Drosophila melanogaster: one gene and its partners. The protein of the gene in region 1 purifies or fractionates together with the protein of each later gene. This does not show direct contact. Each region holds a gene or a part of one and is shown on either strand. Other genes may lie near its edges.

Evidence for each region. Proteins that work in one complex are often made in the same cells at the same time.
Region 2: the proteins of Trp1 (region 1) and TwdlF purify together in Drosophila melanogaster (affinity purification with mass spectrometry, with the first as the bait; one large-scale study listed by BioGRID). This does not show direct contact.
Region 3: the proteins of Trp1 (region 1) and Hpd purify together in Drosophila melanogaster (affinity purification with mass spectrometry, with the first as the bait; one large-scale study listed by BioGRID). This does not show direct contact.

What each region holds. Positions count from the first base shown.
Region 1 is NT_033779.5:10,008,626-10,013,709, forward strand, and holds Trp1 (translocation protein 1), read left to right. Parts: upstream 1-1,728; 5' UTR 1,729-1,857; coding exon 1,858-1,932; intron 1,933-2,111; coding exon 2,112-2,927; intron 2,928-2,981; coding exon 2,982-3,283; coding exon of another isoform or gene 3,284-3,287; exon of another isoform or gene 3,288-3,493; intron 3,494-3,774; coding exon 3,775-3,868; 3' UTR 3,869-4,545; downstream 4,546-5,084. Other genes in the region: CG13131 (uncharacterized protein), read right to left, coding at 4,646-4,955, 5,009-5,084.
Region 2 is NT_033777.3:4,245,304-4,248,836, reverse strand, and holds TwdlF (TweedleF), read right to left. Parts: upstream 1,818-3,533; 5' UTR 1,777-1,817; coding exon 1,753-1,776; intron 1,694-1,752; coding exon 653-1,693; 3' UTR 524-652; downstream 1-523.
Region 3 is NT_037436.4:20,437,643-20,441,694, forward strand, and holds Hpd (4-hydroxyphenylpyruvate dioxygenase), read right to left. Parts: upstream 2,231-4,052; 5' UTR 2,133-2,230; coding exon 2,130-2,132; exon of another isoform or gene 1,913-2,129; coding exon 1,886-1,912; intron 1,819-1,885; coding exon 1,435-1,818; intron 1,377-1,434; coding exon 723-1,376; exon of another isoform or gene 659-722; coding exon 584-658; 3' UTR 524-583; downstream 1-523. Other genes in the region: CtIP (CTBP-interacting protein), read left to right, coding at 1-233, 298-483.

The DNA.
Region 1 (5,084 bases):
TCACTGCAACAAACGAGACACAACCTAAAACGGAAAAAACGGTACAGAACGCACCACAACCGATACGCAAACGATACGAAAACGTAAACTACACAACAACCGGAAGAAAACAAAATAGAGTAAACTTTGATCGAACCCTTTGCGTGGGTCGCTATTAATAATAATAATAAGAATATATAATAAATAATATATTTTACTTATTATTTAGTCTGTATTTTGTTGTAAAACAAAGATTAATAAAAAGATAATTTTAATAGAGGATGTAAGGAAATTAAATTGAGTTCGCATTGCAATATTCACGTTTTGCTTGATATGGTTCATATATATTTTGGATAATACAGTATTAAAATGTAAGTGCAATTTAAACTTTATTTAAATTGACATACATTAAAGAAATGTGTGTTTTGGGAGAATTTCATAATATTAAAGTTATATACAACTTGGTTAACCTTTTCGATTAGTATGAAAGGTATATTTTTACTTATTTTGTATTGTTTTTTATTACCGTAAAGGAAATGGGAGGTTTTCTTCGCGACACAATTTTATTATTTGTATAATCATAAAATTAGTTAAGAAAATTCAATACCTTCTAAAAATATTGATTTCATATTTTTTTGTTGCTAAATGATCCTTTTAACCTATGAATATGAAACATTAAAATAATTCAAAAACAACTAGTTCCCATTTTTAGTGGTTCCAGCGATAGGAAATAATCGCTTCACGGAGTTGCTGGAAACATCGATAGCATCGCGTGAACATCGACTTTTGTTCCATCCCTATCGTGGATGTTTATGTGGTGCGTGTGTGGCAGAATTATTATCAAAATTATTGAAAGAATCAATTTTGAGCCCGCAGATCGTCACACTTGCTAGAAAATGTCGGAAAAGAAGCGAGCCCGTCGCCGCAAGGATGTAAGTGCTAACTGTTTCCAATTAGATCCTTCTAAAGGGGCTGCGCGTGTGTGGGTGCCACAGTCCAATTGACATGCCGAAAGTGTTTGTTTTTTGTTTTGATAAAAAAGGAGAAAAAAAACGTGTGCATGCAGAAAAAAAGTAAAATTGACTCGAAAAGAAACAAAACGCTGAATTGCGAGTTCAGATGGGTCATTCAATATTTTAATATTATTTGTGGGGGGCAAGTTCAGTGCAGGTTGCGCTGCTCTTTGGAGAAACCCCCGTGGGATGCCCCCCGCCCGCAAAAGGTCTATAATTAGCTTTATGGAAAATGTCTTCGCTGCGTATTTAGCTGTATCTGGAATTTGAGTTCTACCTTTTCTTTTTTATTTTTCAGTCAATTAAGTTTTGGGGTCTACAATACAAACAGCTGAGCTTACAAGCTTTTGCCTATCTGGCAACGCCGTAAGTCCGTCTTGTAAGCCGATCTCGCTCATTCGCTGGCTCGCTCTCTCCAGCTCTCCCTCTCGCTCATTACCCACACATGTCAGGTGCAGGCCCACTTATCAGCTGCTCTGGTTGTTGTTATTGTGGTTATTCGTGTTGTTGTTGGGGAAAGTTTGAGTACGCGTGTAAGTTGGGCAGAGGCGGCGCTTAAGAGGGTTTTGTTAATCATTGGCTCCACACATACATGGGAAATTATCACTAATATCATTTCAATCGTTAAACAGCTATGAGTATCAATACAGCTTCAAACCCCCTTGCATATTTTCCAACTGCTCCCCTGTTTAGTATCCATGTGTTTGTTTGTTGTGGTGATCACCAGCTCGTTTGATTCAATACTTTCTAGACTCTCAGAGCGAATGCAACACGTCACGGCTAAGAAAAACTACAACCGCTTCTGGAATAGTTGTTTCTATTTATATAGTTCGCAGTTTTTAAGTTACGCATATTAATTCTCGTAATGAGTGGAGAGGAGGAGTACTTCCAGGAGGAGGAAGAAGAGGAGCAGGAGCAGGATATTTACGACGATGGCACGGTACTTAGGAAAAAATAAAACCCACGTATAATAAAGCCATCTCAACGGCTTGAGGGTGACGAATACAAAATTGGTGTCGTGGCCTATATTCGCTTGTAGTCCCCCCATTTAACCAATCGATCGTGAAAGTGAGTTTCTGACCTGGTTTTCGGACCTTTTTCTCTTTTTTCCTCTTATAGGAATACACCGAACCGGGTGCCCAGAAGGTAGACAAGCCGTCAAAGGACGAGAAGAACGTGGCCAAGTGGCTGAAGAAGAACGTTAAGACGAAGAAGACCAAATTCCTGAGCCACATCGTCGAATACTTCACCTCCAGCAAGGCCATCGATGCTCTGCTAAAGTCCAAATTCACCGAAGGCAGCAATCCGCTTTTCACCACCCGGGAGCAGGTAATCGAGTTTCTAGACGTGATGCTGGAGCACAAGTTCTTCCATCGCGCCAAGAAGGTGCCCGTCACTCTGGAGGAGATCAGAGGAAAGTCTGGAGGCGACAAGAAGGCGGACAAGGAGAAGACCCAAGATAAGGAAAAGGACAAGGCAAAGGATGAGAAGAAGGATACCGATCCGGAAGGCGATAATGGCCAAGGAGACGGAGGTGCGTCTGGCAACGAAAAAGAGAAGGAGAAAAAGGAGAAGAAAAAGCGCAAGATCCGCCTGGACATGCATCCTGAGCAGATCTTCGTGGACGGCTCCGAGGCATACGTCTGGATCTACGATCCCATACCGCTCCACTACTGGATATTCGGCTTCATCCTGCTACTTGGCGCCGTTGGCATTTGCCTATTCCCTCTGTGGCCTCCACTGCTACGCAAGGGTGTCTACTACTTGTCCATTGCGGCTGCCGGCTTCCTTGTTTTCATCCTGGCTCTGACAATTGTACGTCTAATTGTGTTCATCATCGTGTGGGCATTAACCGGCGGCAAGTTGCACTTCTGGATCTTCCCCAACCTGACTGAGGATGTGAGCTTCTTCGCCTCCTTCTGGCCACTATATGAGGTTTGTTTCGAATTATCCATTTATGTTAGTTTACTAAATTACCTTCATCTCTAGAGCAACTATAACAGTGACCCAAATAATTCGTCCGCCAAGACCGACAAGAAATCGAAATCGAAGGACAAGAAGAAGGAAAAAGAAAGCGATGCCGAGGACACAGCCGTGGATGCGGATGGAGACGCTGACGGTGATGTGGATGCTGAGGTTTCCACGCTTGAACCAGAGAAAATCGAGCTCATCAAAGAACATGACACCGACATGGAGATCCGCAAACGTCGCAAAGTGGGTGCCGATGACTACGAGGAAGACGATGTGGATGAAGAAGAAACGAAGGCGCAGCCCAAGGATTCCAAAGCTGGGTAAGACGGAACCGCTCAGTAATGACCAGGATTCCTGCTTTATTGCTCGAATTTGTATTTATAATTTCTTTTATTTCCGTCGAACTTTTGGTTGTATGTTTTTCATACACTAAATCATATTGAATAGCGCAAAAGACATACATTAACTTTAGCTTTTAATTGTAAATCCTTTGTTCCTTAATAAATATTATTGTATAATTAAAATGCATTAATCCGATTCTTGGTTTGCGTTTCATAACATTTTTATTTCGTTTACGAAGCATGTTATTTGTAAATACATTTGTTTCGTGATTTGTGGTGGCTCATTTTATTGGTTGCTGGTTTTTGTTTTCTGGTGATACTTGAGGTATTCCAAAGTTATCGCAAGTTATCGCATCAAAGCAGAGTAAGTTTTGCATCCCATTCATTTGATATTCATTGTACTTACAGTCCTACATTTACTTTTGATGAATGCATTTTAGTAATTTCCGACTTATTTGCTTTGCTTTCAGAACGCCACGCAACTCGGGATCGGATTCGGAGAGCTCGAGTAAAGATTACGAGATAATCAGTTCAAGTGAAGTCCAAAACGTTGCTGGCAACTAATATGAAGAAACCACAATATATATATATATTATTATTTAATGATCCACATCTAGCTAATTGATAAGACATAGAACAAGAATCACACATCAAGTACATCAGCAAACACACACGATTCCAAGTACAGCGAATTATTGTCCCACAAGAAATGCGATCGGTGTCGTTATTCTTTATTGAAGATTTCCTAATCTGCTTTAAATTGAGCTTAGGTTTGAGGTTTTGCAATATTTTTTATTGTTGGATGTAGGCTTGCATATGAAACACAATATTTTTAAACGGAATATTATGTGAGACAAAGACATTTGGTTATGCACCATGCAGTTGGACATCTTTTTTTCGCAAAAGTTCTTAAGCCGTTAAACAAACTACCTATATTTTACCTATTTGTATTCCTATGTTTGTAAATGTATACAGTGGAACGCACTAGGCAGGTGCAAGAAACGATTGCAATTGATAATAATCATAGCGAGTACGTACGTAGATGTGAGCGCATACGTTTCTATGTGCATGAATATTTACTCTACATGTAATTAAAGCAAACTAACAACTTAATGAAATTAGTAGTGTAACACGCAATTAACTATTATATAAATAAAGCTAGGCAATTCTGATCTGATGTGAGAGATATTTGAGCGTTTTTTAGTTCTTGCTCGAACGTTTTATTAAAAAATATACAACATACAATTTGTCTTTAAAATTAAACTCGTGGTATCAAAGGGATTAAAAATGAAAATTTACGTCTATAGATTTTAGTTTTAAGTAAATAGATATCCTTTATAACTAAGTTTGCGGTTCATCTATGACCACAGTTATTTGAAAAGTCCTTTGCTTATGTGGAACGCTGATAAGCAAATGATCTTTCGAATTGACTACAAATTCTTGAGGATCTTGGTTCTCAGATAAATCACGTGGTCTTATGATCATACTCCGTCCAATTTGATCGAATGGATCGTAGACTGTGAGCTTGGCAAGAAGTTTGGCACGCGATGGACAACCGACCAGCCAGAAGAAAACACCGGCTAATGCATCATCCTTTGCCATTTTTGGAGCAGCTAGCAAGGTCAGCGGATGATTCCGCATTGGATGTGATCTAAGGGTTAGAATTAGTAAATAGATATATCATTTTTGTTTTCAGTAGCTAACCTTTCCTTCGCTAAGCTGGTGTACAAGAGAAGGGCCACAAAAGTGTTTCCTTTCGTGAGGAGATCGCCATCGAAGC
Region 2 (3,533 bases), on another chromosome or scaffold:
CCACTGTCGTAATTTTAAGACTTGAACTCTTGTAATTTACACATTTAGTTAAATAAAGTTCATATTTTGAGCTCCGCCTTATGATAGAAAGCGACTCTGCAGCCATATTCAAATATGAAATCGAGTTTCAATACTTCAAAGTAACAAAATAGTTTTCTATGGACCATGTTACCACATCCATTAGTCCAATGACAGCCATCCAAGCCGAAAACCGGTCGCATAAATTAGCATGTGATTTGACTTACATAACAACGATTAAGCCACACGAAAACTTGATTATTATGGCTGTTGGCTTAATGCCAAAAGAGATGGTCCAAACTTTCTTGCGAGAAAGAAGTCATTGTCATAGTCTCTTAGCCCATTGAAACATTTTTGTGATAAAAATAAACAGCGTTTTCATAAGAAACATTAAACTCAAGCTATGCCTTAAATGAAAGATTAATTCCAAATCCTAAAACAAAACCTATCTAAAATATTAAAAGGATTAAACTTAAAAACGAGTACTAGAAACAGAAGGCTTTTTGGGTTTCGATTTAAATTTTTTTATATTTCTTTCGACTTTCGACTTTTGCATTAAAAATAAATTAAAATTTACTACAGTATGATGGTTGATATAAAACAATGAAAGCGATAGGATTCTTACTACAACTTTTTAAAAAGTCTTTGCCGGCACATACTTCCTTGATGGCGCCGAGGGAGCGAATGAGGAGGTGGACTTCTGCACAAAGGAGCTCTGCTGCTGGACCCCCTGGACCCCCTGGTTAATAGACTGCAGCTGAACAATGGGCTGACCCTGTGGCTGGATAATGGTTGGCGCCTGAGAGTGGATGATGGTTTGGCCAGCTTGGGAGTGCTGGGGCACAAAGCTGCCCAGGTTAAGGGAGCCACTCGAAACGCTGGCGATGGGAGCCACTCCCTCGTCCGAAATGTGGGTTGCACCTCCCAAGGCGTCGTACTGGGCCTGGATTTCCTGCTGGGCGCGCTGGGCCTCTTCCTGGGTCTTGTACTTAATGAAGTAGACCTCCGGCTTTTGAACCTTGGCCTCAGACTGGGTAACCTGCAGCTGCTGCTGGATCTCAGTGAGATCGGGCTTTTTAGAGAGCACGTAGATGACGGTCTTTTCCTCGTTGCTTGACTGGGCCCGCTTCAGGGCCGCGGCGGTATATTTCAGATTCTGGGAAGGCGCTTTAATGAAGACGATCCGGTAGTTCTTGCGGATGGGCACATTCTCCAGAAGTGGCTCGTCCTGCCGCAGTTCCTCATTCTCCTCGGGGGCGGAGTGGATGTAAATGTCCTTGGTAACGATAGCGGGGCGCTGGACGAACTGGGTCTGAAGGGCTTGCTGCGGTTGCTGCTGGTACACGATTTGCTGAGGCTGCTGCTGCACAGTGCTGATCAGGTTTTGCTGGGGCGAAGCAGTAAGGAAAGTCTCCTTTGGGAGTGAGATCGACAAAGGAGCGGGAGCGGGGGCGGGAGCAGGAGCGGCAACGATGGTCTGCACGGCTTGAATGGCTGGCTGGACACCGATCGCGGGCTGAGCACCGGCCTGTGGGAAAGATGGGACGGCGCCACTTGCGTATATTCCACTTGACGAAATGGGTGTCAGAGGACGAAGATTGCCAATGGGAAGGGCTGGCAGCTGAGGTTGGTACTTGTATCCCTGAGGAGCTGTTGCTGTGAGGGCCACCAGGCACTGCAAGAGCACATTAAGTGTTAGTTGTTGCGGGGATCGCTCATGTGCCAGTTGCTTACCATTAGAACAACGAACTGCTTCATTTTCACTTTGAACTGTCTGAGCTGCTAGGGTCGAATGATGCCCTGCCTTCCCATTGCTATGTTTTTATATCTGTCCAGGCTGGCATCGTTTTCCCAATAAATGAAAAAATTATTAGGCACTACCATAAATCGTATGAATCTATTATAGACTTCACAACTTCGAATATGTAACGTTTCACATTGGCGGTTGCCAAATCACAGATCCGTGTGCGCAGATGCACTGCTTGAACAGTCCGGGATCTTATCTAACTTGGCGACCAACGCTGCGTTCAAATTTAAATAATCGCTTGAGATCCCCATTGTCAACGCTGAATATATTTATATGCAAAATATTAATAGGTAAAGCGGTTCGATTGACAAAACTGGGATAATATGAAGAAAGTAAGTTTTATGGACGGAAACCCAATTTATACACATTCATGACCAAAATTGTGGGAAGCGATCTATCTGCATATAAAATTCGCTTTGTCGCAGATGTTGTATAAATGAATTTGTTATTAAACAAGTCTTTTCAAAAATGCAGAAAAACCAATAAGCTCAAAGATATTTGTGAAAATATGCTCAGTTCTTCAGAAATATAGCACTTCATGGCTTGAATCCAACCTGGAATCATGCTAACAATACTATTGTTATGGGTAATGCTTTTACTTGCTAGTTCAATTGTTTTCTACTTGCACAACGGTAATTGGAAATAATGGGCAATAACGGTAATGGAAATAACGGACAGACGTTCATGGCCAGATCGACTCGGCTATTGATCCTCATCGAGAATATATATACTTTATATGGTTGGATCTGCCTGTTACATAATTTTCAACGAATCTAGTATACCCTTTAACTCTACGAGTAATATAAATATTCTTATAAAGTGTGGTAAAGCGAATTTTGGTCGGCAGTTGAGCGTTAATTAGGCGAGTCGATGTTTTTAAGTTTCAATCGAAAACATTCCAAAAATCAAGTTTTCATTTGACGAAATGAAATAAATTGCCCGTTACTCAGCTAGAGGGAGTGCGAACGAGTAATCGCAACATTTTTTGGGCGGTTTGTTAGCGTTAAAGTGGAGGCAAAACAACATGCCAAAAACCCATCGAAATTGGCAGGAAAAAATTAAAAATATGTTATTTACAATTTTGAACAGTGTGGCAGCTTTTGGCGATTTGTGGGTGTTTGATCTAATCCATCCAGCTTTTATAGAACAGACAGACATGGCCAGATCGACTCGGCCATATGAACGTCGAGATCTCAGGAACTATAGAGGCTAGAGAGTTGAGATCATGTACATAGACGCAGCTTTTTGCCTTGTTAAATTTATTAAATTTTTCCTCAGTTTATTCTCCAATATCTATCGAAATACCAGAAAAGTGGTGAATTGATCTGAGTAACGGGTATCTGATAGTCGGGGAACTCGACTACAGCATTCTTTTTTGTTTTTTGTTTTTACGACTATTAAATACCATAAGTAAGGGGAATTTTATGGCCTGTACAGTTTTGTCGGTACAAAAAACGTTATCTAAGCATGCATAGAATTAAAAATGCCGTTATGTTTTTTAAATAAAGTTGTTTAGCACAAATTATTATTATAGAAAAAACAGATTATCATTGATTCCTATACATATTGTGGTCCCCGTGGCACATTCTTTTTCACTACGTGGACTACGTCCGTAATGATTGCATATAGTCACGGCTAATCTCCTTTCCCGGTAACACGACATTGAAACATAGTGTTATACCAAAGGCACTAATGTCTTCGGTTATAT
Region 3 (4,052 bases), on another chromosome or scaffold:
GCGTCATTCCAATTACCAAAGTCGTGAAAATGGAACCTATATCCCAGCCAGAAACAGACTTAGGCAACGAATCAACAAAACTGCCCGAGGATATTGAAAAGTATCTTATGGATATCAAAGAAGAGGATAGTAGGCATTCGGAGGAGGAGTTTCCGCGACCGATTTTGATCAAGGAGGAACCTGAGGCGACGGTCAAAGAACGTTTTAACATTGAGTGCGTCGAGTGCGAAAAGGTATGTACAATTTTCTCGACCATCCACAACTAAATAATATTTATTTCAAATTCGATCCACTTAGTTCATCAATTTTATGGGTTCAAATCTGACAGACGAGAAGATCAAAGATTATTTGGCAAAGTGCCGGCATGAAGACGCTCGCAGTTCAACTCCGCCGGGATTCTGGAATCCACACATGGTTTCCTTCGCAGAAGGCGATCCACGCAACGAAGTGTTGATAGACACTCGGTTTTGGGACCAGAGATAAAACAAATGACATTTAGGCAATCAATTTACAAATAGTTTTTCAGTTTAGACCATTTCATTTATTATTGATTTTGTTAGTTCTCAATTTGATCACATTTGATTCACAAGTTTCCTCGCTTGGCTTGTTCAATTTCAATGGCCGTGAACAAGGACTTAAAGTTGCCAGCGCCAAATCCCTGAAATAGTAATGATCATGATTTACTTGTTCTTAGCAACAGTAGGTTAAGCAATAAATCTTACATTGTGATTGTAGCGTTGGATAACTTCCAGGAAGAGGGTCGGTCTATCCTGGCAGTTCTTTGTGAAGATCTGCAGCAGATATCCGTTCTCGTCGAAGTCAATCAAAATGTTCAACTTCTTCAAGACCTCCATGTCCTCCTTGATCTTGGTGCGGCTGTGCGAGAGCTGCTCCTGAAGGATCTCGTAGTACGAGGATGGGATGGTCAGGAACTCGGTTCCTCGAGCCTTTAGGTTGCTCACCGCCTCGATAATGTCATCCGTATTAAGAGCAATGTGCTGGACACCACCGCCGCCGTAGTACTCCACGTACTCCTGGATCTGTGACTTCTTTTTCCCATTGGCTGGCTCATTGATCGGCATCTTCACCGTCTCCTCGTAGTTTGCCATCACGATGGACCGCAGGGCGGAGTATTCCGTGTGAATCTGCGAGTCATCCACGGACCAGAAGCGGTGGAACTGCAGGATTCTCTCGTACCAGGAGGCCACGCTCTCCATCTGCAGATCCGGCTGGTTGCCCACCACGTGATCAATGAAGTTCAGCTTGGTGGAGGGCAATCCGTTTAGAAGGACATCTTTGGGCGACCGCTGGAATCCAGGCAGGAAATCTCCAGCGTACCCATTGCGCTCCACGAAAGTGTGGGTAGTGTCGCCGTACTGCATTCAAGTTAAGGATTAATCCTTAAATATTCCAGAATGAAATCCACGGACTTACCGTCTTGATGGTAGCGAATCTCACGAATCCCTGATCATCGCTCTCCTCCCAGATGTCGCGGACCACTTCGGCCCCACGGGACACGGCCAGTGTGAAAATGGCATTCAAATCCTCCACTTCGAAGGCTACATCCTTGACACCGTCGCCGTGGCGCATCAGGTGGAGTCCATGCTCCTCGTCATCCGGCGTGTAGGCGGAGACGAACACAAAGACGATCTTGTTCTGGCGGACGGCATGCTTGGCGAAGCGTCGCTCCCCGGTCTCTAATCCCTGATAGCCAAGTGGTTCGAAGCCCAGTCGAGTGGTATAGTAGCTGGCCGCCTGCTTGGCGTTGCCAACGTAGAAGGTTAAGTGATCAAAGCTTAGAAATTTGCCGGCTTCAGGCTGAAAGTAGTGAAGAAAGTAGGTTGGCATTATACGCTCCAATATTGGCATACGCTTTCGAACTTACTTTGGTTCCTTTGTCAGTATAGCTGGTCTGTTGGTAGTTAAAAAGAAATAATAGAAGTCATTAGAATTAGATCACCTTGAAATGGATCCTTAGAAAGTCTGTATAATTATCATTGGTTTATCCGCTTTTGTTAGACAGTATTTGTTATAAATCCTGTTTGAGAACTCTTTAAAGTCCATTTAATTCGCACTAAAGGGCTGTTACATAACCACATAGCCACCACATGTCCCATCGTCTCATTTACCATTATCACTCAGACTCAATTTATGCAAATCCTCTCCTCGCACGCGATATAGATTTCTTCGTTCCGTCGATCTTACACGATCTTCAAATTGATTATGGCCTGAGCTCAGCCAGTCGGAGGCTTTTTATAGGGCGCTCAGGTAGGTGGATCAGGTGAAAATCCTGTACTAATTTAAATATAAGCCAAACTAGTATTTTGTTTATTTCGAATGCCATATTATCGGAATATCTTAGCTAGCTGGTTATTGATCGCATATTTAAGCTAAACCTGCATGGATTTGTTTACTAGAACAGGTGGATTACTTAATTAATGCAATCTCGAGCGGAATGAATTGCAATATTGTAATGCGGGTCGGGCCTCCAATCTGTTTACTTCGTATCTGAGCGGCGCTTTGCAAGTTCTGCGTTCGAAATTTCACTTCCTTAAGCTCGTTACATGAAGATACAGATAACTATGTGTTCGTTATGCAAAAGTTCGGCCCATGTCAGAATTCAGCTAAATATTCATGAAGTCAAGTCTAGTGAGTTCGAAAATCGGTTGCCAAGTCGTACTAAACTTGATTCCAGTTTCGAGCCCCCAAAAACGCAAACAATGGGCCAACTGAGTGTTAATGCTATCTGAATTGTTATTGTTATTGCCATTGTTACACAGTGCATAATGTGGGGCGTTATTGAAGTTGTTTTGCATTAGAACCGCTTTGCAAGGTTCTCAAAACAAATGTACAAAAACTGGTTAACAAATCTGTTTGTTGTTACGATCTAATAAAGCGGCACACGCTAGTCACAAATCATCTAAATTGATGATTGCCTTTATCGGTTTTTAATTGCGGGGATAATAGCTCTAAGAGGATTGGAAAAGGATTTCAAATCATTAGCTTGATGGTTATTTTCTTTATTTGAAAGCGCATAATTCAGTTGTATTTAAATATAGCAAGACTGGTTTTGGGAACTGGATTAGTTATTTAAGCAAGTTCTATTATTTTTATAGGTATTTAGGAATATCTTGCTTATAGATGAATGAGCGTTTTAGTGATCGTTATTCTTTAGTTTAAAGTTAGACAACATCACTATAAATGATACAGATAATATAGATATAGATTTAAATGTAATTCAACAAGCAGCCAATATGTTGAGATTATAAGATCATAATTGTTAAACGGCGTTTATTTCTATCATAGTAATAAAAAAAAGTTTATCTTGTGCTTGCTTTAAAGATCTTTTGATCGAGATATTGCCCCTGTGCTTTTTTTTGGGATAGGGCAGTTCTCTTAATCATTTTGACTGACGATTCGTGTCAGGTGTTTGGCAACATGCGACAAGCCCATAAATTAATAGTTTTTGCCGCTCAGCCACATGCTATGTTCCCTGCACACATGGCGTATGAGCAATTCAGGCAGCTAAGCATTAATGATTAGCCCTAGACAAAGTCTCCCCCAGCTGCTAATGATGAACTGACAGTCCGATGGAAGTGGTGAGGTGGGGATGGGATGGAATAGGTTGGGAAAGAGTGGGCGATGGTCGATTGGTCATTGGCAAGAAGCCAAATCAATGCTTGACATTTATTATGATTGGCTTATTAGGGCGCTGCATAGGCGACAATCTGGCAAAAGTGGTAGGAGTTGGAAGTGGCCCTTGTCGCCAAATTGCTCCAGATGGTATTGTAGCTATTAAACCATATGACTGAAAAGGTTCTTCTATAACAAACCCATTAAATTCCTAGGCGTATTAATAAAGAACATTCTATTCACATTCATGCAAAGTAATGCATCTGAAAATACACAATTGGGGCAACTTTCTAATTTCAAATCCTCCCAAGCCCTTTCACAACATTGATTCCATTATCGCCCTCATAAACTGCGAGGTTTTCTATTTGTTTACTTTACACCTGGCGCTCCTTGGGTTCCATTAGTCAAAGAATCCCGAC